Linked DNA regions of Diceros bicornis minor. The protein of the gene in region 3 purifies or fractionates together with the protein of the main gene of each other region. This does not show direct contact. Links are inferred from orthologs where the notes say so. Each region holds a gene or a part of one and is shown on either strand. Other genes may lie near its edges. The genes, in order: EPC2, ASH1L, MORF4L2 and ACTL6A.

Region 1 (6,965 bases), on a different chromosome or scaffold from region 3:
ACCCTCTGGAGCTGTGTGTTTGCAAATCTGTTTCCTTCAATTACATCTGTCTCATTTTTTCCTTGGTTAATAAAATACAGAGTTTTCGGGCTGATTATTTTTGAGCCTATCTGGATCCTTTGTGGAACTGGGAAGTAAATCGTCAGCTTATACACAAGGTGGCACCCTGTGATTCCAACCAGGTCTGAGAGGAGCGATGCTGCTAAGAGACCGAGCCATAGCCACAAATTTTTATTTAGCGTCTGGTTTTCCCACTACGGTAAATATAAAGGTGGAAGTAGATGTTTGGCATGTCACCACTGAGTGCAGTCTCCCTCCCTATGTCTCAAAGATTCAGAGTTGCCTCAGTAAAGGGCACTGGAACCAGGGGGCTGATTCCAGTTGATTGTAATGAAAGCAGACCCCACATTCAGATTACATATGGAAAACAATGAAGCTTTATTGGTACTGGGCTCATTCCTGGGAACATAAGGGGGAGGGGTGGGGATGCAGTCCACATACCAACCCAATTAACTTTCAATTGGGTTTGCCGAAATAGGGAGCCAATTAGAAAGAATGTGACATTTACAAAACTCTGAAATAACTGAATAACAACTGTGTTTACTAGTATTAAATTTCCTTTCAAAAAGTAATTTATTATTTGGAAGCTGCCTGCCCTGACTGTAATATGGGGAAATGGAAACTGGAATATAATCCCAATTCTTACACTTACTTGATCTTTATTCTAATTTAGACTACATGTAGACAGTGGTTTTATTTTTGATATGGCTTTAAAACTATTTTTAATTCTTGGGTGTTGTTACACTACACTTGCTTGGCTAAATGCATGTCATTTGGAATTGGTCCAGAGCATATTTGAAGTGGACAGATTTGGGAATGACTGTACTCAGTGCATTGTATGTGGAAATTAAAATAGGCTATTAGGCTGCACAATCATTTGAAACAGGTTTTGATAAAGATATTTTATAACAGGATCTACTTCAAAAGTTAAAAAGATATTTTCTGTTTTTAGCACAAACAAGTATATGGGTATTCAACAAATAGATTAGAAATAAACTTTATGAAAAATAATATTTGTATACAAATAAAAGCTACTTTCCAAATGTGAAACAGAGGCATTCTGGTTTGGGCACTGAATCGGAAGCCAAGAAAACACAGGCTGTGTCTCACTTAAAAAGCGTATTGTGTTATTTGCCTCAAACTGTTTTATTCCCAGCTATAATCATTACCTACAGGGCAAGAGGAAAGTGGAGATTTGGGGAAGAAATCTGTTACATGGTCAAAGAAAAAGAACAACAAAACAACAACTACTCCAGTTAAAACCTGTTCCTCTAATAGAATTTCAGGTTTCAAAAAAATTTCTTTGAATTGCTTTAATTGGTTCTAAAATTCCTATGCCCAAAGGTAGGAAGCTGGAGAGAAATGTAGGCCATGATAAGAGCGAGTATGGGCAGCAATGGCTAGGTCAGGTGACAGGCCAATAAGGTAGGTGAACTCCAAGCTGGAGTGGAATGGGGTCAGTGTCACTGAATTTCTCTAGGGAATATCAGTCAACAGATATATATTAGGTGCCTGCTATGTGTGAGGCACAGAACTAGGGATACAGTGAATAAGGGAGCAGATGTAGTTCCTGCCCTCCTTGAGGCTATCGCATCTCTAGGCTCTGGGTTATGCACTCTATTGGCTATTGGTTAAAAAGTCTCAGTAATTTGGATCAGCAACTTTAGAATGTTGAATGGTCAATAAACCGAAGAGCTTGGACAGCAGCTTGGCAATGTGGAGAAAACAAGAGTTTTGGAGTCAGGCTAGACCTGGATTTGAACCCAGTTCTGTGAGTTATTAGTGTTGAAACTTGGCAAATTATCTGAGCCTTAGTTTCCTTATTAGTAAAATTATAATATTTCCTCATAGGGTTATAATGAGAATTAAGTGGACTGCAATTAATTGAGATAATATATATAAAGTACCACTATAGAGACTGGTATATTTTCAATATTCAATACTTCCTTTCTTGAGACAGAGTAACAATAAATACAGGGAATAGAAGAAAGCTATCCCTTCTGAGCCTGAGAAGTGCTGGGCACTCAAATAAAAGCCCTGGATGACTCATTTCTTCAAACATCGCTTCCCCACACCTCCTCCCTTTCAGGCTTGAATCCAGTGCTGACCCCTTCCCAACAACGTCTTGTTCTCCCTTGCAGAGAACTGGAACTGCTCCAGAGGGTATCGCTCAGAGCAGGACATGCCTATAAGCTTGAGGAAGGTATTGCTTACAAGAAGTGAGTCACAGCATCTCCATTGTTTCCAACAACAAAGTGGATGGAAAACACTCAAGCCCGGCTAAACAATGCTGGAAGTCTTGCTGGGCCAAACAGTTAGACTATTTAGACACTGCCATGAAGTCCATATTCATCATTTTGCCTTCAAAGCGGGAGGTGGAGAGAAAAGGGAGGAGGAAGAGGAGGAAAAAGGGAGAAGGGAAGACGTGGATGAGAAAGAGGAGGTAATGGAGGAAGAGAGTTTTGATGTCATACAGAAATGACTGCAGGAATCAATTTTTTTGACTTCTGGACTTCAGAAACCATCTACTTTTCTCAGAGCTAGGCAGAACATTAATCAATTATTAGAAATGGTAACATGAGTTACACTCTTCCAGGGATTTTGTAGGAAAACTGTAATGCTTAAAGACTAACCAAGAAACTTGGTTAAATGAGGTTGATGTCAACAATACCTGGTACTTATTTGAGTCAACTTGATTTTCCCTTCTCTTTAGAACTTTCTCTAACCAGCTCAGGCTAAAGTAACGCCTCCTTTCTCTGAACTTTCCTGGCAATTATTGCCAGTACAACTCATTTGGTAATTAATCATGTTCTAGTGCCTGTGTCATCTTTCTTGTATAGTTTTCTTCAAGTACTTACTTCTGCTATCATTTATCTTTCCAGTTGCCTTGTTCTTCAACTATTTACATCTCTTACTACTATCCATCTTTCCAACCGTCCTGTCATCCCAATAAGGTGAACGCTCCATGAAGGCAGGAACTTGATCTCAAACTTCTTTGAGTCTTCCACGGCACTCAATGTTTTACGCACATCTGCCACTTTGGAAATGTGTGCTGCCTTGGTTAAATTTTATAAGTTTAACTCTTAGGAAGGCTAATATTTTTGAAGTCAGTATCCACCATCCACTAAATAACTCTATGAAGTTTGGGGGACAGGTTCAAGGGCACTTGTTGCGTCTGGCAGCCTCAAACATGAACCCTCACTGCTGCCATTAGCATCCTCCCCGCGAAGGCGAGGATGCCTTACCTTGGAGAGCTCTTTCGGTTAGGTAGTGAAGAGGGGGTGCGGGAAAGAGGGCTGGCTCTGAGTGCGCGTTTTCGGGGCGGGCGAGACGCGGCAGGTCTGCGCCCCTCTGAGTGGGCAGACGGCATGGACCTTCCGCACGTCCCGGGGACGCGCAAATTGGAGGATGCGAATTAGCCGGCGCTCGCGGCGCCTTGGAGATAAGCGCTTTATAAGTGCAGGCTCGGTGGCGGCTACTGTGGCCCTGGTTGACGTCTCCCTTTCCCGCTCACACACTTCTGCACACACGCGCTGCTCGGCGCCTTCCTCCCGGGCGCCCAGCGAGAGGGCTGTCGCGGCCGCGGAGACAGAGGCGCACGCTCGGGGGCGCGGGTTAACTTGCGCACCTGGCACCTGCCACACGGCGAGAGCGCCGGCCGGCGAGCGGAAAGCCGCCGCGGCCGCCGCCCCCTTGTGCCCCAGAGCGGCCGGAGGCTGAGCACGCTCCCGCGGGCCGGCCGCGCCGCGGAGAGAGTGGGTGGGCAGGCGAGGGAGGGGAAGGGAGAGGAAGGAGGGAGGGAGGGAGGGCGAGGGCGAGGCGCGTCCCCGCGGCGGGGGCGCGCTCTCGCGCGGGCTGCCGGGATCGCTCGCCGCCGCTGTGGTAATGTCCGCCATGTTGGCCATGGCGCAGGGAGCGGATCGGGCGGGCGAGCGGCGGATCTAGTGTGTGGAAGCGGCCGCGGGCGGCGGGGGGCTGTTTTCGGGCGGGGTGGGCGCCCATGCTGTGGCCGGGGGCAGTGAGGAGGAGGAGGAGGAGCGGGCCGGCCGCGCTGCACTGAGGAAGGAGGTGGAGGAGGCGGCGGGAGTCCTCCCCCCCTCCCCGCCCGCCCCGCCGCCGCCGCCCGGGCTGTTCCTGTAAGGCGGGGAGACAATGAGTAAACTCTCCTTCCGAGCGCGGGCGCTGGACGCCGCCAAACCGCTGCCTATCTACCGCGGCAAGGACATGCCTGATCTCAACGACTGCGTCTCCATCAACCGGGCCGTGCCCCAGATGCCCACCGGGATGGAGAAGGAGGAGGAATCGGTAGGGACTCGAGTGTTTATTACCCCCCCTTCCCTCCTCCCCCCTCCCTTTTGTCAGTCGGGCCTCGCCATTCACAGAGCGCTTTACGCTCGCTGGAGGGCGCCGCTGCCGCTCCAACGCATGGGACTCTACGCCGGCGGAGTAGCGTAAACCCTCTCGGCCGGCGCAGCGCCCGCCCGCGGCCGCCATGTTGTTGCGTCCCAGTGTTGTGATTAGCTCGCAGCGCTGCTTACGCTGCCGTAAGGGGGCCTTGCCGTAAGCGGCGGCCGGGAATGGCGCAGGGGATGTTCTGGCCGCACTTGGCGTATGGCCTCTGTTTACCTTTTTTTTTCCCCCCTCATTCGGCGCGGGGTTGATTAATGGGCGAGGGATCTTTTGATTAGGGAAGATTTTTTTTTCCCCCTCACTTAAAATTTAGTTTTGCACTGGGTTCTCTTTGAAATGACTTATGGAAAGTAAAGCGCTTTCAAAACACCCGTCATCTTTCTCCTAGCAAGGTAATCCTCGCTCCCTGGCCCGCGGTGGTGCAGCGGGGAGAGGCGGTGCAGCACTGCGGCGGGGGAGGCGGGGGCCGCGACTGTCCAGCGGCATGTAGCGTTAGAGAGCTGCTGACCGGCCGGCTCCGCGGCCCCGAGCGGGACGGCTCTGCCTGCCTGCCTCACCGGGATGCGCCAGCTCAGTGCGCAGCGTTAGGAAGGAAGCGGGGATGCTCAGCAACGAGCTGCCGGCGCTGCGCTATCCCCGTGCCGCGTCTCCGGTGATTGTCATCGGAGGGGGGGGTCTTTTAGAAGTTGAAGATCTAGTGCATGTAAATTGACAGTTGCATTTTTAATAGTACAGCGCTTTTTGGCAAAAATGTTGCTTTTTTCCTCCCTGATTGGTTGAATTTTGCATACGGTTGGATTTCATCTGGCATGACAGTGTTTATGACTCTGGAGTGGTGTTACTTGCGTGCGAAGTTCATAGTAACTGCACCCTCCAGAATTTCTTCAATGAACCTGCGGTCCCGCCTTATTGTCAACCCCGGGTGTGCGTGGATTGGTTCTCTTGCTTCTGTGACTGTCAAAAGAAAGCTCGAGGTTTCTGTGATTGGTTTTCTCTTTTAACTGTTAATATTGCAGGAAATGCTTTTATGCCTCTGATTGGCTGCTCGAGTTCTGACCTCATTGTATTACCCTGTTATTACTAATCTTTGCTGTGATTTAATCACATTTCTCTTTAGTGTTTGATTGCTTGAATGTTTTGCACTTTCAGTAGAAAATGAATATGGCGGTAGTATCAGAATGAATATTCAACGTTCAACTTTTTTTAAATAAATAAGATGAAAACTCGACGTTTATCCTTAAGGTTTAGAGATAAGTACTTCCTGAGAATTCTTTTTGTTTTTTAAGTAAAAATTATTTCTAACTTAGCTCATTTTTCCATGGGAAAGATAATTAAGAAAGTTGTAGTATGTACAAGAATTAATTGAATTAAACTTTAAAAACCACCGGTTTGGATTCCAAAATGTTAAATTTCTGTTAGTTATTTTCTGGGTTTCGACCCCAAAAGAAAAGTGGCTTATGAGTCTTAAAGTATCAATAATATATGTAATTACTTGGATCCTATTATTTTGTTTTGGGAAGAATTTGAATCAAGAAACTTGTTCTAGAATGAACAGTTAGCCCCTGGACGATGTATTAGGTTTTGCAAACAATGATTAGCTATACTTAATTATTGCTTTAGGTCCTTAGTTTGTCACGTAGATCTTGATATTTTATCTGAATTTAGGAAGAAAATTTGCAGTTTAGTTTTTTTTAGTGATGTATTAAAAATAAATGCTTAACGTCATCACAATTTTGTACTATTGACTTTTTCAGTAAAACTTGTGATTTTCAATCTAGAGCATGAGTGCTAAAGTTGGATTATTTTAAGTAGCCTGCTTCAACTGCTCAATTTTAGGAAGAAATCCAAATTCTGGTAGAACTAGAATTGAAACCTAGGACTTCTGACTTTTTGTCCTGTCTGCCTCTTTAATGTTCAAGTGGAGGTTCTTAAAATCAAAACAAAACTAAAGAATTCCTGACAGTTAAGATTTATAAGTCTTTTGCTTCCCAGAATGTCCAATTAGGGTGTTAGTTTTTTCTTTTTCTTTTTTAAATTAACATGTAAGTCAGAAGACTTGTGCTTTCGTGAGTGACAGCCAATTCAATTCTCCCAGTCATAATTACAGAACTTCTGTTATTAAGCAGAATTATTTGCTCATTTAAAGAAAAATGTTTTGCTTTGATAAACAGTTCTAAGCAGCAGTAAAATATCATAAATTTCAGAAATATTTTGTGTTTCACTAGAGTTGTATTTCAGTTTAATTTCCATTATCAACATGTTCTAACTAGTTACCTTTATAAGTTTTTTTTTTTTTTTTTGAGGAAGATTAGCCCTAAGCTAACATCTGTTGCCAATCCTCTTTTTTTTTTTTTTTGCTGAGGAAGGTTGACCCTGGGCTAACATCCATGCCCATCTTCCTCTACTTAATATGGGACGCCGCCACAGCATGGCTTGATAAGTGGTGCCTAGGTCCATGCCAGGGATCCGAACCCGGGAACCCCAGGCCGCCGATG
Region 2 (6,890 bases), on a different chromosome or scaffold from region 3:
AATAGTTGTGTAACCTTGAGCAAATTACTTAAACTTTGTCTCTGTTTCTTCATTTCTAAAATGGAGATAACGGCAGCATCTAAATATAGAATTGTTACAAGGATTAAATGATTTATAAGTTATCAGTTTATTACTACACCTAAGTTTCTCCAGTTTACACAGCTACCAAGGAGCAGAGCTAGGCCTTGAACCCAGGCAGTCTGAAGTGTACATTTCTACTTTGATAGAAGGCAATAACCTGAAGCATAAGTTTAAAATCTTGGTGCCCAAACAAAAATTTCAGAGTTCTTCCCTTGTTACATAGAAAATTATTTAGATTATTATGCTTATACAGCATTTACCCATAACTTGTCAAATGTAAAGTCAATCCTGATGATATTCTAGTAAGTTTTATCTTCAAAAATTTCTTTTAACATTTGAAACCTTATTTTAAAAGTTTATATTGAAGAGCTTCTCCTGTTTATCTATATTGTATTTAGATAACATCCCAGCAAGGAAGCACCATGAAATAAATGTTTAATTACTTCTATTCCAGTGAGGAAGTCTGAGGGCAGCTTAGCTAAGACTGCTGCTGTACAGCAATATCCCAGAGCCCAGCAGTGTATTTACAGCTTGGAAACTGATGCCAGGAGAAGCAGAACAGTAGGGAAATACTGGAAATCTAGGCAGTTTTGTTGAGTGCCTATCACTTTGCTTAAAGAAAAGTTTCAGTTAACCCATACCCTCATTTACATTAAAGCACAGACCACAATCCAAGGCAGAGTACTTTGGAGGTTAATAATGATTTGACTCTTTCTGTATTAGTTTCCTATTGCTGCTGTGACAAATTACCACAACCTTAGTGGCATAAAACAACACAAATTTGTCATCTTAGGGTTCTGTGTTTAGAAGTGCAAAATCAAAGTGTCTTGCAGGGTTGTATTATTTCTGGAGGCTCTAGTAGAGAATCTGCTTTATTGACTTTTCCAGTTTTTAGAGGCTGCCCTTTCATCTTCAAAGCCTGCAAGAGCCAGTCAAGTCTTTGTCATATTGCATCACTCTGACAGACTCTTCTGTCTTCCTCTTCCATCTTTTCAAAACTCTTGTAATTCCAGTGGGCCTATCAGATAATCCAGGATAATCTCCCTATTTTAAGGTTAGCTGATTAGCAACCTTAATGCCACCTGCATCCTTAATTCCCTCTTGCTATGTAACATAACATATTCACAGGTTCTAGGAATTAGGACATGGACATCTTGGGGGAACCATTAGTCTGTCTTCCAAGCCTTCCTTGGTTCAAATAATTCAGTGTTCACTCATTCAATATGGTCATTTTATTGAGCACTTAATATATTTTAGTTGCTAGTAGGCACTGGGGCATATGCAAAAGAACAGAATACTATCCTATTTGCCTATACTTAGCCGACAATTCATGAATCAGTGGAGTTACTGAATGCTAGTTGAAGGCAGAGACCCTAAGTATGTAACTTTCTTTATATACTGGTGTAGCGGAATTCCATTAGAAGTGTTTTTTCTTTGTAGTGTACACAATTATGTTACTGATGAGAAATTTTACACGAAGGCAATGTGGTATAGTGAAAAAAGTTAGGTTTTTAAGAGACAGGCAAACTAAAGTCTAAAGATAAAATTACTGGACTTCTCTGAGCCTCAGGCTTCTCATCTGTAAAATGTGAATAAGATGATCCATCTCAAAGTGTTGTTTATTATAAGGATTAAAAACAAACACATGTTCTTCTGGCATGGTATTCCACAAATGTTAATTCTCCTTCTCTTCTCATATTTTAAGTATCTAACATTCATTTCAACATTTTCCTAACTTGCTTTGCACTAGACTATAGAAAAAATGTTAGACATAGTCCTTGCTCTCAAATTAAAAACGTGGTTGGTAGAGTAACACACTTGCATACATGACACAATTAAAGATTAATGTAAAACTTCAATGGGCTCCATGAAAGACTTGGCACTTAAGACACAGTTAGGAAAAGCAAATATATAGTGAGGTAATTAAGGCTGAATTCCTCTTTACCTTAAAAAAACAAAGCAAGCAAACAAAGCCTGGTCCATATATTGAAATATGGTACGGGGGAAATTCAGGAGTGTCTACTTGAACTTCAGAGCTTGACTAGACCTTTGAGATTTAATCTAGCACAATGATTTTCAAACTATTCCCTGGATCCCCTGAAATTCACAGATGTGAAGAAAAGGGACACCCAAGTAAATCCCCTCCCTAATTTTTTCTGCTTTACTGGTTAGGTGAAACTAAAAACTAGTAGATTAGATAAACTTCGGGATTATCTGTGGATTTTAATAGTCCATAGTTCTCCTGAATTCCATCATCAAGTAAACGTTCGTGCAGGATTCTGAGAAACAAGTATTAGTAACCACAGAAATCTGATAGGCCTAGTTTTGCTTTGTTTTATTAACGACTTGGTTAGAATAGGACACAAACTACCAATTACACCCACAAACCTTATCAACATCAACAGAACAATAACATAATACTCTGCACTTTCCCTGTGCCTAGGAGCTAATTCTACTTTACATATATTATTTCACACACCAATTCCAAAGGCAGATTTGGAGTTAACTAATTTTTATGTCTAGTTTTTCGTTTCTTCTTGATAAGGAATTAAGAAAAATAACTTTCCGAAGGACACATAAGACACGGGCGATTCAGTCCAAAACTCAACTGGAAATACGTGATTCCTTATCCTCTAACATCAGGCTGCCTAATGAGATTGAAAATGTAGTAGCCATGCAGGAGGAAAAAGTAAAAGTGCACAGAAACACCATCGCGTATAGACAGTTGTGCGAAATGCGAGAAATCTAAGCTGAGCTAAAAAAAGAAAAAAAAAGAAAGCCGACCACGGCGCCGGTTCTTCTTTGGGTCCCAAGTCTGCAACATAGAACCCGGAAAAAAGCCCCCTAGGACGGTCGCCGGTCCTCCTGGCCTCACTCCCTACCTCACGGAGGTGCGGAGTCCCGCTCCTTTCCCTCATGGGTACAACCCCCGCGCCGGTCTATTCCCTCACCGAGAGTCGCGGACCAATTCTCCCGACGCGGCGAACAGCAGATACTATCAAAAGCTGCTCCGTAGTGCTCGTCCCGCAGCAAAGAAGCAAGCTCGGGTCGAACGGCAGGAAGCTACTCAACGCGCAGCCGCCGCGGCCTCCAACCGCCGGCCAGCGGAGGGGGGCTAGGCCGCCCCCGACCCACTCGCCGCGGCCGTGAGGAGGAGGGGGGAGGCGAGCCGCGGCGCCCCGGCCCGGGAGGTGAGTAGCCATGGGTCTCTGTCCGCCACTCAGATAATTCCAGTCTTAGCGGCAAGCTCTGCCTGCTTTTGCCTACCTTTTCCTCCCCCGCTCCTGCAGCCGACAGGAATGGAACAGTCCCGCGGGGGGATTGTGGGAGGCGCACGCGCGAGGGGTGGAGGGTATGTGGGGGGGGCCGGAGGAGGAGGCGGCGGCGGCGGCCGTGGCGGCGGTTGGTGGCCGTGGGGGCGGGGAAGGGGGGGAGGAAAGACGAGGAGGTGGAGGAGGAGGCTTGGGCTCGCGCCGCTGAAGGTACGCGTGAGGGCCCGTGCCAGAGCCGGCTTGACAGGGGCCGAGGGGAAGTGGGGGACCGTGCGAGGAGGCGCCCCTGAGCGAGCGCGTACGGGCTGGCTGGCGCGCAAGGCGGCCGGAGGCGGTGGTTGGTGGGAGCGGCGAGCGACGAGCCCAGATACACTCCGGCGCGTGCGGGCGGGCGTGCGCGTTTCGCCGCCCGAGTCGGGTGAGGGGGGAGGACGGAGGGGAAGAACGCGAGGAGGGAGGAGTGGGAGGTGGGGGGGGGCACGAGGCGCCCTTCGCTCGCTCCCTCCCTCCCGAGGAGCTGCCGCCGCCGCCGCTCTGCCGCCGCCGCTCCCGCCGCCATTTTGGGTTCGCTTTGCGGAGGGGGAGACGATCCCCGTCTGGGTTGCGGGACCCGCCTCCCCTCAGTTTCCCTTGCTTGGCCCCACGCCTTTCCCTTCTCCTCTCTCGCATTTCCGCCAGTCCGCTCACCCGCTGGCCGCCTCCTGACAAGCGGGAGGGATCCACTGTGGACCAAGGGAAGCGGAGGAGCCTAGTGGCGGCCGCCCCCTCTTCCCCACTTCCCTGCACTCTCATCTTTCTCGGCCTCGGCCTCTGACACGGTGAGTAGAACCGCTTGGGGAGGCCTTTGGGCCTAAGTACTCCCTCCGCGACTCAATCCTTGGCTTCTTGGGAGCTACTGTCATCTCCCGGACCTGGACCTCCGGGAGAGCGGTGGTAAGGATGGGGGAGGGGAGAGAAGGGAAGGGGATCCTGAGCTTACCGGGAAGTCCCTCCTGGCGGGGGTGAAGGGGTGTCCCTGACAGGCGGGCTCCTGGCTTGGGGGAGGGGGCAGGAAAGTAAGCGAGTGGAGGCGGAGTCGGCTGTGCCCCTGACAGGTTAGTTTGTGTGTTGTGTAGACACGATTGGAGCATCCCCCGTAGTCCAGTCTGTGGCTGTTTAAGGAATAAGACTGGCAGGAGGGCTGATCTTTCGAGAGTAGTTTACCTGTATGATCAGGTGTGTGTCGTCCCTGACATGCTGAACTGTATGTAGGAAAGACAGAATGATTTCAGTGTTATAAGTTTAATAAATGTTACTGGTTACTTTGTACATGGAAAGACATGTTTTTGGTCTGGAAGACAGATGGTCTGCTGGTGTATGGCGGCTGTGTTTGTGTGTGTATGCAAGGAAGGAAAGTGTTCCGGAAGAGTTTGCTTGTGTTTGTGTAAGTGTAATGGAGTTCCCCTTATAAGTTAGCTTATTTTTGAAATAAAACTTGGGATATTCCCTGCTGGCTGATGTGTGTGTGTATTTTAGGTATTGGGAGCGCCTTGTTACCTGTTGGGAAAGAGAAGTCACAGCAGTATTTTAGACAATATAGCATATATTTGTGGGAGAAACTTAAACTGCTTGTGGTCTTAAGAGTAGTTTGTTCCTCTGAACAGAGTGAATTGTGTAAATGTGAAGGTCTAGAATATCTTTAACAGAATAGTTACTATGAGGGTATAAAGAATGGATGGCCTTTTTGTTGACCTGAGTTTATATTAACGCTTTATAATAGAATAACGCTGTTATATTTTTCAGATTTTAAATCTTTAAATTCTAAATCTCTTTGTGATTCTAAATATCTGTGAAATGGTAGAATAGATGTTTTCTCCCATTTTACACAATACGAAATTGAGGCATAAAGAGATAATTTTTCGAAGGTGGCATGTTAAATTGGTTACAAAGTTGGGACTATAACTCCAGTATTTTGACTACTAGTCCAGCAGTGTATTCACTATACCATGATGCCTCAGGAGGTCTTTGTCAGGCAAATCTGAGTTTATTGGAAAGGTAAGGGCTTATATGACTGGTTGGATTGTATTTGGTAGAGATCAGTTATGTCAGACATGTATGTGGAATGTAGGTTGTCCTTTCCAGGTTGGCCTGTGTGAAATGGTTATCCTTGATTATTTTTTGTTTATGAAGGAAGCAGAGCATTTCTGACACTTGAGTTTGTGTGTTTGAGGAAGGGATGTCTTCTGTAGTTTAACTTGTACTAGAGCAGCTACCTGGGGCCTGACAGCTTAACTTTAAATGTATGGGAAGAAGGATCTTCTTTCATTCGTTCAACAAATATTTGTTGAATAACTACTCGTTATATACTGTTCCTGCCTTGGGGTGAGAGTAATCAAGGTGACCCTGTTGAAACAGCCTGGATGCATATGAGGGGACTTGTCTTGACAGTGGTATATGTATTAAGTCAGGCAAAGCAGACAAGTCAGTGGGAAATTGAAACTAGAAAACCTTCCTAAAAAGTCTTTTCAGTTTGGAGGGAATTTAGATCTTCCAGACATTTTAATGTGGAAGGATACAAGTGTATTTAAGAATCCAACAGGATGGCCAGTTTGTGATAATGTGTGCCTTCTTTTGCATTATCTTTTGGCATTTATGAGTAAACAGTTTTTGGGATCTGGGAATTGTTGATATATGTGTCTGTAGATATTGGAACTTTTTGGCAGAGCTGAAGGAATTCTTCGAAAGACTTAATTTTGTAGTAAGGATCCCCTCTATGAATATGAAGGAAGAATATTTGAACTAAACCAACTTAACTGTGTCTCTCTGGAAAATGGAATGTTTTTGATATGCTAGATTAGTGGTTCTTAAAGTTTTTTGGAGTCACTTGTCCTTCTGAGAATCTGATGAAAGACCCTCACTGTACAAAATGAGCATAAGCACAGTCACACAAATGGTGCATACAATTTCAGGAACTTAAACTGTAATGAAGTAGAACCAATTTATATTCAGGTCTCATTTGAAAGCCTTTTTATATATATATATATGTATATATTTATATATATTTATATATATATATGTATATACTTATATATATTTATATATATATTTATATATATATACTTTGGGAGTGGACATGTTGATATGAGTTTAAGATCCAAGATTCTGTGACAGTGTTTGAGCATGCTGACAGTAAGGAGAATTTTAAGATCCATGTTTTTTATTCTTTTTGTTTTATTCTTTATTCTTTGCAAACTTATTTCTGTAGTGTTAGAACATGCTTCTGAATTAGGTGATAAGAGAATATAGCACAAGTGTTTATAGCTTTATTCTTTCTCATTGTGTTTTTATTCTCAAACTCATCTCTATCCAGTTTTGCATTGGGACTGAGGTGTTTTGAAGCTCATTTCGTGGAATTTATCTTATTTATAACAAACATTATTGAGTTAATTCTATGCAGGGGACACAAATATGAGTAATAAAATAATAGGCTTTTAATCCTATTGAAGCTATGAATTGTATGATGGCAGGGGCTTTCAAAAGGGCAAGGAGGAGGGAAGC
Region 3 (7,736 bases):
ATAGATAGAAAAACACTGTTATTAAAGAAAAACACTCACTGTTATTAAAGAAATACCATTTTGCTTAGACTTGAAATATCAGGGTTTTTTTTTTCACTTTTAAATTAGCCAAACATTCTTTTAAAAAATCATTCAATAAGCTAGTCAGAATCAAATGAAAAAAATATCAAATTAACCTTAGAATGAACCAATTTCATCTACCACGCAGAAGCCATGAGAGGACACTGGTGTCTCTCTCCACCCTCCAGAATAGACTGGCCACTACCTACCAGACCTAGGAAGACTCTTAGCCACGAGGTAAAACAAGCAAGGCCAGCAAATACTGTTGGGCAAGGCAGGTTGCACCCTGCACAAGGGTATCCCATTGAGAGGGAACAAGTGGAAGCTAAAATTCATTCTTCAGCTGCCCTGCGAAGGCTTCAACATCCTTGAGAAAGAAAAGTATTTTTCTCATTTTCCACTGAAGTGAACACTTCTCTGCAATTTTTCTGCCCCCAGGTAGCATGTTTCTAATTAGCACAAAGGTATTGTATGAGCAAATAATGGCCTTGAAAATTAACATGGAGATCTTGGTGTTCTGTGAAGGCTGGGACCATAAATAGTCTCTGTCTGGCCTTGAGCCTTTAAGCCAAACAAACATTGACCTAAACTATCTTTCTCTTCCAGTTGAAATCGATTACGAAGACAATGGTTCAACTGTAAATCCGAGATGGAGAAGAGTAACTTGTATGTTCTGAGAACCCACTAAGAGTCAGGAATCTGCTGAAGCTTTCTCCCACTAGTAAGTGGAAGGGGCAAGAGAGTATTCACATTTGAGAGGGTAGCATGGCATAATGGGAAAAAACAGGGCTTTGGAGTCAGAGAGAAGTCTGAATCTTTGCTCTGCCATTTACTCACTGGCAAGTTGGCGTGAGTACTTAACTTCTCTGGACTTCAGTGAGGATTCACTAAGATAAAAGATGTAAAGTGCTGAGCATGGTGCTGCCTGGCACATAGAAGGCATTCAGTTACTATGTCTTTTTCTGCTACTCTCCTAATCCAAAGTTAATTCACATTATTCACACCGTTGGCCCTGAGACTTCACCCAGTAGAGCATAAGGATGGGTTTACTTGACAGAATATTGGAGCAAGAGTCAGGAGATGTGGGTCCCAATGCCAGACACATACCCTGTTATAGTATGTTGGGTAAGTTACTACCCTTTCCTGACCCCATCAATAAAACAGGAGAACACCTCTAGCTCTGATGCTGAAAGAGCAGAGAAAATCACTTCTCTTGGGCACCTGCTATGAAATATACACTATGCTATGCCCTTTTACATACCTTATATACTCTAAATCAGCACTGTCCACTGGAACTTACTGTGATGGTGAGAATGTTCTGTATCTGTTGGTATCTAATATGATACTAATACTAGCTGTAAGTAGCTATTGAGCCCTTGAAATGTGGTTAGTGCAACTGAGGAACTGAATTTTTAATTTTACTTAATTTAAATAGCAATATGTGTCTAGTGGCTACCATATTAGATAGTGCAGCTCTAAGATTATGAAGCAGGAATAATTGCTCCCATTTAATATATGGTGAAACTAAGGCTCAGAAAAGTTAAAGAACTTGTTGAAAGTCACATTAATAGTAACTAAACCAGATTCAAAACCTAGCAGTAGATAGTTTAGCAGGATAGTAGGGTTGGATATACCAGGAATTACCCAGGCTCCGCTACTTACAACATACATGACAAAAGAAAAATAATTATAGTCTCTAGAACTCACTTTCACCGTGTATAAAATGATGATAAGCATCACCTAATTTACAGACCTATTCTTGGGATTAATGGGTAGAGAGCTATATAGAGTATGTGGCCCATAATAGGCTTTCAGCAACTGTGTTTCCTCACCCCCCTGATTCCTTCCTCACACATAGGAGAGGTTCAGACATAAAGTCAAAAAGATAACTGCAGAGTGGAGAGCATTTGGGAAACATAAAAGCAAGAAGGGAAACACTTATGAACTTTTATGTGATATCTTATTATAGAATGGAGATTAGGAAGGGCACAAAATCATCAAAATATTTCCATTCATTTGGTTTGCTTTCCTGCCTTCTTCTTGACGCTGTAGTCAACATTAGCCAAAGCAGGAAACAAGGTATCTGTAATGTAGTCTGAGGCCCAGAAAGACAAGCTATTATGGCTGAACAACAGAGTATTGTCAAGGGCTTGGGCTCCAGAGGCAGGTAAAGTTCAAATCCTGGTTCCCATACTTTTTGTATGCACTGGGAAAACAATTTGACACCTTTACACATTAGTTTTTAATCTGTAAAAGGGGACTGATAATATGTAGGGTGTCTCAATAAAAAAAAATAATTTTGCTTTACATTCTGTAGCACCCTCTAGTGGAGTGTACAAAAATAAGCATCATATTTCCACCCTCCAAAGCAGTGGTTTTAACTTCAGTGCGCATTGGAATCACCAACACAGTTTGTTATAACACAGATAGCCAAACTCTACTCCTAGAATTTCTGATTCACTAGGTTTGAGGTGAGGCCTGAGAATCTAAATTTCTGACAACTTTTCAAAAGATAATAATGGTGTTAATGGTGTGTCTGGGAAACACACTTTGAGAACTCCTCTAAATTCTACCCCCCTCCCCTGTGTATGTGTGCACACACACACTCATGTATATGATTGATAACTGAAAGAGGTATAATTTTTGTTTTTTGATTTTGATATATTAGTACTCCTAATAAGGATTTTGTGAGGAATAAAAGAATACCCATGTGAAGGATATCACACATCTAAAATATAGAAAGCATGCAAAAAACTAAGAATCACAAAACATAAATCCAGGGTCTCAGAGCTAGTAAGTGGTGGAATGGGGTTTAAAATTAGGTCTCTGACTCCAGAGACATAATAAAGTTTAGCAATACCACTATAGAAAATAGGGTGCGAACACGCATACCTAATTAAAATTTCAAGAGGAAAAGATCAGTTTTCAATATCAGGGTCCAAGTTCTTATGTGTCTTTACTGACTAAACAGCTACCTATATTTTCCATTGGGGGAGATGGTGAGCATTTGAAAAGGTGCACAGAAAGGGTTACAATCTTCATCAGCAGCAGTGTCTGGGGTAATTAATGAATTCTGACCCCCCAAAAAAGGCAAGGAAGGAAGAAAAGAGGGATGGAGGGGGGATTTTTTTTTTTAAAGAAGAAAATAAGGAAAAACATTTGATTCTCTGCCCATACGCCTCTGCCTGGTAGGGGTATTTCGAGAAGTTAATTTCATTTTTCCCTAGCAAAGATAGATATACATGATCCCTATGGATTGTTTGAAGAGTCCAGCAAATCAGAAAGAGGGGGGGACAAAATCCCATAATTCCAGGGACCAAACAGCCAATCCTTTGCTGGGATTTGGCGGCATCTAGTGGCAGACTCAAAAGGTATAAACCTCACCCAGAGAACTTTCTGGAAAATTAACTGAGTGCGTACTTGCCTGAAGGGCACTGTGCTTGGAGCTAAGGACAAAAAGGTAAGAGAGCTTCAGCCCCCACAGAAATTCGGAGTGTCTAGTATAGGGGAAGGCTGTCGTATATAGATATTCTCAGCATAAAATTATATTTGTGCCAGGAGAATTGCACGCAACTTGGGGGGGGGGGTTCCAGGCAACAGGAAAGAAGCGGCTCTTTGGAATTGCTAATATGGGAATGGGAGGGTTTGGCTCTTAACCACTGGAGGGCAATGGTTTAAAACAGGATTTTGGCACGGAGAAAAACGTGGGAAGAAAGTGTATTTTTAGGGTCTAAAATTAAATCGCTAGGGGAGACCTAAATATTTCTAGCAAAGGCCCTTTATTTCTGTTACGGTCGCCTTGACTTTATTTTCCTTTTCATTAGAACAATTTTCAAACATATGCAAAAGTATAGAGCCATCTATATAGAGCGCGCGCACACGTACGCACTGAGGCACGCATACCCTAGCTGCCGGACACACGCCGGGCCCAACGTTAGAGGCGCACGCCTGCGCACACCCACCACCTGCAGCGCCACGAGGACTGGCGCGCGCACACACTCCAACCGCAAGGCCATGCAAGCTCGCCCGCGCACCTATACACTAGCCCCCACACCACGCGGCCGCAGCACCCACCACCCCGACTCATACACATGTCAAAACCCCCATTCTTCCTTTTTTTTCCTCCAAGAGTTGCGCGAGGCTCGGGGGCGTGGCCCCACGTTTGACCTCGCGCTTCCCCACTCGCGGGAACCTTAGCTCATTTCCGCCCATCCCGTTTCCGCAGGCCACGTAGACACTTCCTTTCCCAGTGGGGAAAAAAAAAAACCCATAATGCCTCCGTGCAGGAAAAAAAAAATAAAAAAAAAAATAAACCTCTGGTCAAAGCGGAACTCTGGGTCGTGAAAATAGGCCACGTGAACACCCTGCCCTATAGACTTATGACCCAACGACTGTCGCGCTTTTGGAGGGCGGGCTCAGAACCTAAGGGGGCGAACGTCATTGGCCAGAGCCCGCACTAAAGGAGGAAGATGATTGGCTTGCCCTAAGCCTTAACCGTGAAGAAGCAGGTTGCTAGCGCCTGCCTTTACTGCGGCGGAGTGTCATTGCTGACGTGGTGGGCCTCGTCCAATCATTTGATAATGGAACATTCTAAAACTTAGACGAGACGATTGTTATTGGCTGAAGGGCATAAGCCCGCCTCCAGGGTGACGTGTCTGCCTATGGATATCAGTTGCCAGAGAAACCTGGCTTTACTATGGCGGTTGGAGGGACGGCAGTGATCACACGTCGGCTGCTGGAAAGAACTGGATTCTCGTTTCAGGTTTCGGGGTGGGGGTGGGGAGAAAGGGTTGACGATTTCCTCTTATCGTCGTGTATATAGACAAGGTTAACTAATGGCTTCACAATCGAGCAGAGCTGGATTCAAATTCCTACTCGCCAACGCCCAGCTTAGGCTGGCTCCTGTTCTTTCTGTGTCTCGGTTTCCATGTTTGTAAAATGGTGACAATAATAGTATCTACCTCAGAGACCTGTGTCTCAGAGGCGTGTACTGTATATGCGTGTATATAAGGCACTTAATACGAAGCCTGGCTCCGAAAGATATTAACCATGATTGTGGAGAGAAAAACCCGCGTAACAGAATGAGGAAAAACATAAATTATGTGAATTCGTTCATTATAGTGCTTTTCCTGCCCATCAACTTCTTCTTTAGAAGAAATTAGAGATATAAGAGAGACATATAAATCTTTACTCATGAAATAATTTGCTAATTGGGAATTACCTCAAATAGCGAGGATTGGAATTTTCCATATTGAAAAGTTTAAAAAAAGGAGGAGGGGGAGAAAGAGATGGAGAACGAGAGCGAGCTGGAGATGAACCACATGCAATAAGTAGGCCTTGTTTGGATCCTTATTCGAGCACACCAGCTGTGGGAAAAAAAAAACTGCTTAGGATGCGTCGGGGAAATTTGAAGACGGATTCGATATTTGATGTTTTTTTAAGGAATTGATGTCGATTTTTTAGACGTTATAATGATATTGTGGTTATGTTTTCAAATAGTCTTTATCTTGTAGAAATATGTATGAAAATATTTACGGATTAAGTCATAAAATATCTGGAATTGGTTTCAAAATACGTTGATGACTAGAATTTGCTTCAAAATAATCTCAGCGGTAGGGGGAAGTGGGGAGGGGTATAGATGGAACAAAATTGGCCCTAAGTTAGTAATCGTTTAAGCTGAGTGATGGGCATGTGGGGTTCCTTATATTCTGTTTTTATTGGTATGTGTTTGAAATTTTCCATAATAAAATACAGAAAGTCAGCTATTCAGTGAACTTAAAAAAAATCGGAGTTGGGGGGAGCGGTGGGTGGGGTTATAGATGAAACAAAATGGCCTTCAGTTGGTAATTGTTGAAGCTGGATGATAAATTTGGGTAGGTTTGTAATATTCCCTTTACATTTCTATCCATTTGAAGTTATTCTCAATAAAAAGTAAAAAAAAGGCAAAAACAAATTACTTTGTCAAAAATCAGGATGAATGTACGAAAAATTTGAAAATATAACCCCAAGAAAGGAAAAAGAAACACTTGTACATTATTTATCAGCTCTGTTGTCCTTTGTGTGTGATAAAATGTATTGACTGATAGAAGAGAAAACCATCATCTCATGTCTTTTTATTTTATGTCCTGTCCTGTCCCCTTGTTTGACCTTCTAGGCTATCATCAGAAAAGCTAAGTTTGCTATATAGTAGGGATCAGAAGATCTGATCCTGATTGCAGAACCGTCCCTGATTACAGAAACTTGGGTAAGTGCCTCCCTTCTGGCCTCAGTTCTCAAACAAGATAATTTCACACAACATTCCTAACTATCCAGAAATATTTTGAAGATAAATAAGCGCCTATCCGGGAAAGCACTCTAAATTCTAAGGGGAGGATGGAGCTAAGTCCATTGGTGCTTCCAGTATAGAAAGCGCCTGAACAACAGAGGGTTGTGTAATTTTTAATTCCTTGATAAAAGATACTGCAATTGATCCCCTATAGTTAGTTACATACATTCATATAGTGTTTTTCTCACTTTGTGGCATCTCACATGCAGCATAATTTAGTGGTTAAGAGCAAATGCTGACTTACCGAATTTAAATCCTGGCTCTGCCACTTCTTATGTGATCCTGGGCAAGATGCTTACACACTTTGTCCCTGAATTTCCTGGTATATAAAATAAAGATAATAATAGTTCCTACTTCATAGGATTGTTAAGGGGATTATATGTAAAGTACCAGGACAGTGCTTGGCACTGTGTTTGCTTTAATAATAATTATGGCTCTATTAGTCTTTCTGGTACATCCTGTTTTACACACACATGCACACTTACACTTCTAAAAGCAGTGGATACTTCTTTTTGGAATTGTAAAAAAATAATAATACTTTTGGTTTCTCTCCTGATTTTCCAGAAGCAGCAGTTACCACTAGAACTGAATTCTGAAATTATGACTTCTGGCTTGTCCTAACAATCTAGAAAGATTTTGAGTATATTGATCATATTTATTTATAAGGGAATTTCCAGGAGCTATAATTTTAACTAGCAAATAATAACCATATTCAGTCTGCTAACAGCTTTTATATCATTCCTTCTTTGTCTCGGACTCAAAAATGTCTGTTAAACATAAAGGAAGTGTTCCAAGATCGAAAAGAGAGAGAATTGATGTAAATGTAACTAACAGGGTGTATGTGCATTTAAAGGTTTATTCCAACAAACTGTAGATGTTGTTCACACTCATTTGTAACACCCATACACAAAGGTGTTAGCATTTGGAGTCTGCATTCCTGAATGGTCCATCACTTGCATGAGGAGATGAAGGAATGTTTTCACTCTCTTGACAGCTTCATTTTCCCATGGAGTCACTATATTTTTCTTATTTTTCTCCCTTCTGAAAGCTAGGTTGCAGAGGAGGGCACTGCCCTGGTGGAAAAGATGCAGTAGATGGGTAGGCACAAAATCCCTTTACAGGAGACCATTTGGAGAATGATTTAAGGGCTAAAGGAAGGGAGGTGGACTGTTGGGCCAATAGGAGCTCAGAGAAGGCAAAGGCCAGGGTAGCCTGAAATGGAGAAAGCCTCAAGGAGGAAAAGAACCTTGACCTGAGCCTCTGAGGATGGGCAGAACCTAGAAGGAGGGAAACCAGTCCGAATGGTATGCCTACAAAGGATACGATACACAGTGATAATTAACTGAACTGT
Region 4 (7,198 bases), on a different chromosome or scaffold from region 3:
AAGGGATAACAATATAACAGTAAAGACTTACAAAATCCACAGAGCATCTAGCACTTCATCTTCTTTCCGTTTTTGTCTTTTCAGGATTACTTTGTTAATACTATAACAAACTCATTGGCATGTTATAAAGGTACCAGCTATGACCAAATATAATTTCATTTGCTTCTTTGTATATCTAGGTCATATTACTTAAAATGGTTAGCAGATCTCTTACAATTCTAATGGAAAACAGATGTATGAATCTGAGTGATCATATTTCTATTGGTGAAAAACTCCAGACTCCAGGTCTTTATCCTTTATCTCAGGAGTGCTTGCATGACTGTTATATTTTTGGAATGTCAGTACACAAAGGATAGTACTTGCAGTGACTCTTTACACACACACATCCACACAAAAATGTTTACATTGAAATTTGTTTTTCATAATTACTAATGTCATATTTTTTTGCAGCATGAAATAGAGTGATTCTAAATGTACACAAATTTTTGTGTCATTCTTCTTAATGATAATCCCCTGAATGTTTCCCAGCTGGCATTAATAACAGTTGCAATGTTTTTTCAACTCTGAACTTGATGAAGGCCAAGACAGAGGACAAGATCAGTAACATTTTGTAATGACTGCTGTGTTTCCACAATCTGAACAGAGCTGGTGAAAAGAGGAGGGGGCAGCATTACATGCATTCTAGTGCAGCGTTACAAGAATGGAAGACCAGCGACCCCGTGAGGCGAAACTAAGTGTTGCACTGCGTATACAGAGGAAATTCTTGATGCTGGAAGATTACAAAGGATTTCTGAAAGGGCACTTATTTTTATAGATCTGGATTCTGAGTCAACCACTGAGCATCTACTGGGGGCTAGATAGGTTTACATACATGTTACTTCAATATCTTTTATTTTTAGGTTGACAAACGGAATATGCTGGCTCCGGGAGGAAAGTAGCAAGCATTGATTGTTTTGGTATGTTATGCCCTTGAGAATTGACGCAGAGGCAGTAACCTTGAGTTGTTGTTGTTTTTAAATATGACTAGCTATCAGTAGCATTAATGTAGGCTTTACATTAATGAGCCAATAATGAGCCAAGACTTGGGAGAAAACATGTTAGGTTACAGAGGAGGAATATTAATACAAAAAAAACCACCCCTCAGATATTTTATATTTTATAAAGTAGATTCTGCTGGGTCAGTATTTTTCTTTTAAAATATTTTCTAGCATTTTTCCTAACTCTGAAGAATGGAAGAAAACAAGGTGCCATAGTATACGTCTTGCCTCAAAGGAAACATCACTGAGGATGCCAGTCCCCGACATTGTTCTCTTAGGATGCTGAATACGTTTCCTTTCTCAACAGTGTCTTCCTCCAGCAATTCAATACTTTAGGGTCAATAATCTTAGCGCCCTATTACATCTTTTGCTGATTAACATTTATGAGAGGTTTAAGTGTGCACTTTTATCTGCATTAACATGTGATTAGTCCTGACATATCAGATGTACTCTGAAGTTCATTTCATTTGAAGTTCATTTCAATGGTTTGTTATTAAATAAAGTAATGTGTTCAATAACACATCAAGAGAACAGCTGACCTGAAATTATGATTGAATGAATGATCTGTTTTCTAATATCTTTCCAAATTATCAAATGAAGCAAAACCCTTCCTTTAAGCAAAAATATTGAAGCCTGACTTTCCAGTCTTTTCTCAAGCTGTCTTCTTTGTGCTGTCAGACTGAAGATTCTCGGCACTCCAGTGTGTTCTCTGTGGGAGGAGTCAGTCGCAGCATCTCAAGCCTTCCTGAAGGCTAGGCGTGTGGTCCTCATTAACCCCACTGAACTGTTTTGTTTTCTGATGAACTCTGAACTAGTGGGACAAATGTTTTACTCTTTTTCAATCCAAATATATCTTATTTCTCCATGCACAGGAGATTTTGGAGATAGTACTGATGAGAGATATTAATACATATAATCTAAGTTGCTATATATGAATTACTATGCATTTAAATGGTAAATTGGTTTAAATGGATTACTGTGTATTATAAACACAAATAGTATCTCTTCAATATTTAATTATTACCAAAGTATCACATATTTTAGAACTCATCAGCTTTATTAGTCAAACACAACAAAAAAACATGGAGTGGAAGGGCCGGCCCTGTGGCCTAGTGGTTAAGTTTGGTGCACTCCACTTTGGCAGCCCAGGTTCAGTTTCCGGGTGTGGACCTAACACCACTTGTCAGTGGCCATGCTGTGGCAGCAACCCACATACAAAATAGAGGAAGACTGGCACAGATGTTAGGTCAGGGTGAATCTTCCTCAGCAAAAAGAGAAAAACCAAAAACATGAAGTGGAAATAGAAATATTTTGGGGGTTTGATATGTGCCTACAGTGAGAGCTATAATCATGGGGGCAACAGTTAACACAGAGCACTTGGTGCACTGTGCTGGACGTGTTATATGCATTATCTCAGGGTGGGTAATCGCTTTCTATAAGGGGTCCAATAGAAAATATGTTCTTCAACTTAGTGTGCCACATGGTCTCTGTCATAACTACTCAACTCTGCCCTTACAGAGCAACAGCAGCCATAAATGAATAAGCTTGGCTGTGTTCCAAGAAAACTTAGTTTATGGTCACTGAAATGTGAATTTCATATAATTTTCACATGTCACAAAATATTATCCTTAAAAACATTCTTAAAAACCATTTAGGGCCAGCCCCCGTGGCTTAGCAGTTAAGTACATGAGCTCTGCTGCTGGCGGCCCCGGTTTGGATCCTGGGCGTGCACCAACACACCGCTTGTCCCGCCACGCTGAGGCTGCAGCCCACATACAGCAACCAGAAGGATGTGTAGCTATGACATACAACTATGTACTGGGGCTTTGGGGGAAAAAAATAAATAAATAAAAATTATAAAAAAAAAAAACATTTAAAAATGGAATAACCATTCTTAGCTCCCAGGCCATAAAAAAACGGAAAGCAGGTTGGATTTGGCCCTGAGGCCATAGTTTGCTGACCTTTGCATTATGTCACTGGGTTAATGGGGATTTCCTAAATGATCAGATATACTGAGATTATATTATTAAATGAATGGAGGTTTTCTCACTAGCCTTGTTGCCCACCTTACTATCACTTTCTACTAGCTGCTGGCACCACGATGAATCCGGCTTTATTCAACTGTTCCTAGATTAAGATTAAGAGGAGCCTATACGGTATGTTTAGACTCTAGACAAACCATTTAAGAACTGCTATCAACAACAAGGATATACAACCAATCTTAAGGATTTGAGTTGGAGTGACATGACCAGATTTGGGTGTTTTTATAGATCAAGCTGCTGCCTGCCGCTGGCCAAGAGGCAAAGGGACAAGCCATTGTAGTCATCTAGCAGAGAGACACCGGTGATCTGGACTGGGCTGGGAGAAACGGGGAACTAAGAACAGTAGACAGACTGGGGATGTATTTAGGATTGGGTACTCGCTTGGATGATTGATTACACTGTTTTATGCCTGTCTCACAGGCTAAAATAAATTGATCACACCTTTAAAAATAATTTTTAAAGTGCTACCTAAATTTAGTTGGGATAGCGTATCATCCTTTTCTTCTTTTAATTATTAATAACCATTTTAAAAATTACAAGATCCTATCGGTTTGTCTGATTTACCGATTCCTCTTACCCCAAAATGGAGCATAACATTTCAGTTTCTTCAATACAAAAGTTAGTTGAAAACACTTTCTCTGAAAAAAAAAAATTCTGCATTCACCGCAATCCAAAACCAGGAATCACTGCGTGGAGACACTCTCTCTCAATTTCCTGACTCCGTTTTGCAGAGGTTCACCTTCGTCCACCAGATCCCCACTGGATTCCCATCTCTCCTCCTCGCCTCAGCCTTACCCTTGGGTCCGCCCCCGTCACTTCCCTCCCTCCTCCTCCCTCTCCCGCTCCCTCCACCCCACTCTCCCACCCACCTGGGAAGCTCCGCCCCCCTCCAGTTCCGCAACTCAACTCCTTTTCTCCTTCCGTCGCTTTCCCCTCTCCCCGCCCCCATGGCTGCCTTCGATTGGGTAAACTGGCTGTGCCGCGACAGGGATGCAGCACAGCCTCGTTCTGATTGGCTGAAGCGTAGCCGGTCCTCTAGTGATTGGCTGATAAGCGGAGACAGCAAGTGTGACTGCGCTCTGGGGCGTGTGGACGCTGCTTTGTTGCCGGAGCAGGGTAGCGGTGGAAGTTAAGGGGGTCGGGGGCTAGCGCTTCTCGGGGCCCACAGTCGCGGCCGTTGCAGTCACTTCGCCCGGTAGCCTGTAGCGTAGGAGTCGCGCCGAGAGCAGCCATGAGCGGCGGCGTGTACGGGGGAGGTGAGTGTGCGGCCGGACGAGAGAGCGCGCCTTTTTAACGTGTAGGGTTTGTAACCGCCGCCCCCAGCCCTCCCCTCCCCGGCGGCCCCTTCCGGTCTCCCCCTTTCGGGACCCCGGCCTCCCCGCCCCATCCCCGCCCCGCGCTCCGCCCGGCCCCGGAGCCCACCCGGCTCAGCGAGCGCCTCGGGCGCCCGGAGTCGCCGCCCCCTGCGGCTCCTTCCAGCCTCGCCCCCCGGAGGAGCAGGGGTTCGGGGGTGCGCGCCGCCTCGGGGCTGTGTTGGCAGCTCCATCCAGGGGGCCGGCCCGCTGAGCCCCGGCTTGAGTGACCGGCCCCAGGTCGCGTCTCTCCCAGTGTCTCCATCACTCGGCTGTCGGGGCGCGTGCGCGCGCGTTTAAACTTGGGAGGTCCCAGCACTTAGCAAGCGCGGACGGAGCGTTTCCGCGCCGTCCCGTAGACGGTAAAGCGAGCGCGGGAGGTGGAACTGGTCGGAGGAGCGGCGGCCACTGAGGACGCAGCCTTTTGTCCGTCCGCCCCCGGCTTCACACCTTCCAGTAACTTCTGCCTGTCTGTTGAGTGTGGCTTCTCCAGAGTTACTCGGGGGCGGGTTTGTTCGGATTAATTTAGGAACGCAAGTAATTTAAGGATGCTTTCCTTGGATAGGCAGTGGTGTGATAGACAGATTACTACGGGCCTGGGAGTTACACAGACGTGGTTGTAATACCAGCCTCCCCGTTTGTTTAGCGCTTTGGCCTCGGGCAAAGGCCAAGTTAAGTTACTTAACTTTTCCCAACTTGAGGCTCCTTATTTTTGGAATGATGGTTCCTACCCAGTGGGGTGGTTGCGAAGGTTAAGTGAGATGATGTTGGTCCATGGATCAACGGTGTCAGCATCACCTGCAAGCTTTTCGGAGATGCAGCATCTCAAGCCCATCTCGAAATCTACTGAATCAGAGCCTCCGGTTTTGCGAGATACCTAGATGAAGCACCGATGTATTTGATTCGTGTTTTGTGTTGTGTTTGATGAGTTACAGAACAAGGAGACAAATCCAAAGTGTTGCTTTTGTTATTGTGTCTAGTAAGGATACTGTTTCGGAAGAGGATGGCATTTTATAGGTAGGAGATAAAAATAAAGTTTTCAAAGTTGTTAGTAGTCTTTAGAGTGTAGCTTGAGTCTCTTCTGAGGTGAGATGCTGACGCTCACCCCCTCCTTCGCGTTAGTGTTCTTGGGTTTGATTTCTCAAATGTGAGAGTCAGTAGTTTCCCATTTTTACTTTGGAGAAAGCCTAGTGGATCTCCATGATTTCCCTCTTCCCCATCTGAGATGCAGTCCTGACAGAAAAACTGGATCTACGTGCCTTTGCCTCATGGGGGCCGTGGGCTCTACTGACCTGCAGGTTCCCTGATCCAAGCACCTAGAGGCTGTCTATTGAGTATTTCCTTACAAGGCCTTGTTTAATATGACTGAGGTAGAAATGGGTACGAATAATGCCAGCAGCTAACGTTTATTGATTGCATGCTGTGTACCAAGAACTGTTCCAGAGGCTTTTCATGGAATTTATTTAAAACATACATTAATTCAGTTAATCCACAACAACCGCAGGAGATGGTACTACTATTCCCATATTATTGAAGAAGAAAACGAGGTATAGAAAAGATCAAGTAACCAGTCCAAAGTTATATAACTTTCTAGTAAGTGGGGAGTAAGAATCTCTGGGAAGATGAAAAGGCATTTCAGTAAAACTGTTTCCCATTTAAAAAAAAAAGGTTTTTGGTTTCTCCATAGGTCATTTTTCAAGCTTTTAAATAGATTATAAAAGAAACCAATTATAATAAAATATAGTTCTATGCTTGGACTCCTTGGGGAGGCCAGAGACCCCGCTCCTAGTTTACCCTTTCTTAGGTAATCTGCTCCGCTCCTACAGCCCCAACTTCTATCTAAATATTAGTAATTCCAATCTCAAATCTCTCTCTCAAGCCCTCACCTTTGTCTAGAGCCATATCTCGGACTTCTTATGTACATCAACATCAGTTCCACCTGAAGTCCCATGGGTACCTCAAATTCGACATATCTGAAGCACTGTCTTCTTCTCCCTGTCCTGCCCAACCTGATCTCAGCAGGGCTTATTACAGTGAGTGTCCCCAGTCATCAGAGGCACAAACCTGAGAATCGTGAATGCCTTCATGTTTCATACCCTTCATCAAGTTCTGCCAAATATTTCTGCTAAATATTTCTTTTTTTTAAGTTTTTTTTCCCAGTTTTATTTATTTATTTTTTATTTTTTTGTGAGGAAGATCAGCCCTGAGCTAACATCCATGCTAATCCTCTTTTTGCTGAGGAAGACCAGCTCTGAGCTAACATCTATTGCCACTCCCCCTCCCCCCCCCCCCCCACAAAGCCCCAGTGGATAGTTGTATGTCATAGCTGCACATCCTTCTAGTTGCTGTATGTGGGACGCGGCCTCAGCATGGCTAGACAAGCGGTGCGTCGGTGCGCACCCGGGATCCGAACCCGGGCCGCCAGTAGTGGAGCGTGCGCACTTAACCACCAAGCCACGGGGCCAGCCCTCTGCTAAATATTTCTGAAATTCCTTCCTCTTAAACACCATTGCCACTGCCTTGATTCAGACTCTTAACAGGGAACTACTACAGTTCCCTACAGGTATTGTGCTTCTGTCTCTTCACCTTCTCAATCCACCTTTCAAACTGCTGCACTGTGATCTTTCAAAATTGTAACTGAACATTAAAATTGTAACTCTGAACATTTTGGTACATAAATCCTTCAATGAAAAGAAAGAGGAGAATCATTCAGTGGTTTCTCATCATCCACAAGATAAAATTCAAATCATTCTACCTAGTTGATATT

The links.
Region 1: the proteins of MORF4L2 (region 3) and EPC2 purify together in Homo sapiens (affinity purification with mass spectrometry; 5 studies listed by BioGRID and IntAct, counting the BioPlex papers as one, with this or other methods). This does not show direct contact. The link is inferred for Diceros bicornis minor from reciprocal best matches to the Homo sapiens genes MORF4L2 and EPC2.
Region 2: the proteins of MORF4L2 (region 3) and ASH1L purify together in Homo sapiens (affinity purification with mass spectrometry; 5 studies listed by BioGRID and IntAct, counting the BioPlex papers as one, with this or other methods). This does not show direct contact. The link is inferred for Diceros bicornis minor from reciprocal best matches to the Homo sapiens genes MORF4L2 and ASH1L.
Region 4: the proteins of MORF4L2 (region 3) and ACTL6A purify together in Homo sapiens (affinity purification with mass spectrometry; 5 studies listed by BioGRID and IntAct, with this or other methods). This does not show direct contact. The link is inferred for Diceros bicornis minor from reciprocal best matches to the Homo sapiens genes MORF4L2 and ACTL6A.

The regions. Positions count from the first base shown.
Region 1 is NC_080749.1:32,913,023-32,919,987, forward strand, and holds the start of EPC2 (enhancer of polycomb homolog 2), read left to right. Parts: upstream 1-3,944; 5' UTR 3,945-4,212; coding exon 4,213-4,365; intron 4,366-6,965. UniProt on the Homo sapiens protein: May play a role in transcription or DNA repair.
Region 2 is NC_080743.1:59,406,813-59,413,702, reverse strand, and holds the start of ASH1L (histone-lysine N-methyltransferase ASH1L), read left to right. Parts: upstream 1-3,878; 5' UTR 3,879-4,040; coding exon of another isoform or gene 4,041-4,145; 5' UTR 4,146-4,171; intron 4,172-6,890. Other genes in the region: DAP3 (small ribosomal subunit protein mS29), read right to left, coding at 3,033-3,284. UniProt on the Homo sapiens protein: Histone methyltransferase specifically trimethylating 'Lys-36' of histone H3 forming H3K36me3. Also monomethylates 'Lys-9' of histone H3 (H3K9me1) in vitro. The physiological significance of the H3K9me1 activity is unclear.
Region 3 is NC_080781.1:96,707,510-96,715,245, reverse strand, and holds the start of MORF4L2 (mortality factor 4-like protein 2), read left to right. Parts: upstream 1-4,729; 5' UTR 4,730-4,822; intron 4,823-6,214; 5' UTR 6,215-6,304; intron 6,305-7,736. UniProt on the Homo sapiens protein: Component of the NuA4 histone acetyltransferase complex which is involved in transcriptional activation of select genes principally by acetylation of nucleosomal histone H4 and H2A.
Region 4 is NC_080754.1:43,459,528-43,466,725, reverse strand, and holds the start of ACTL6A (actin-like protein 6A), read left to right. Parts: upstream 1-4,177; 5' UTR 4,178-4,310; coding exon 4,311-4,335; intron 4,336-7,198.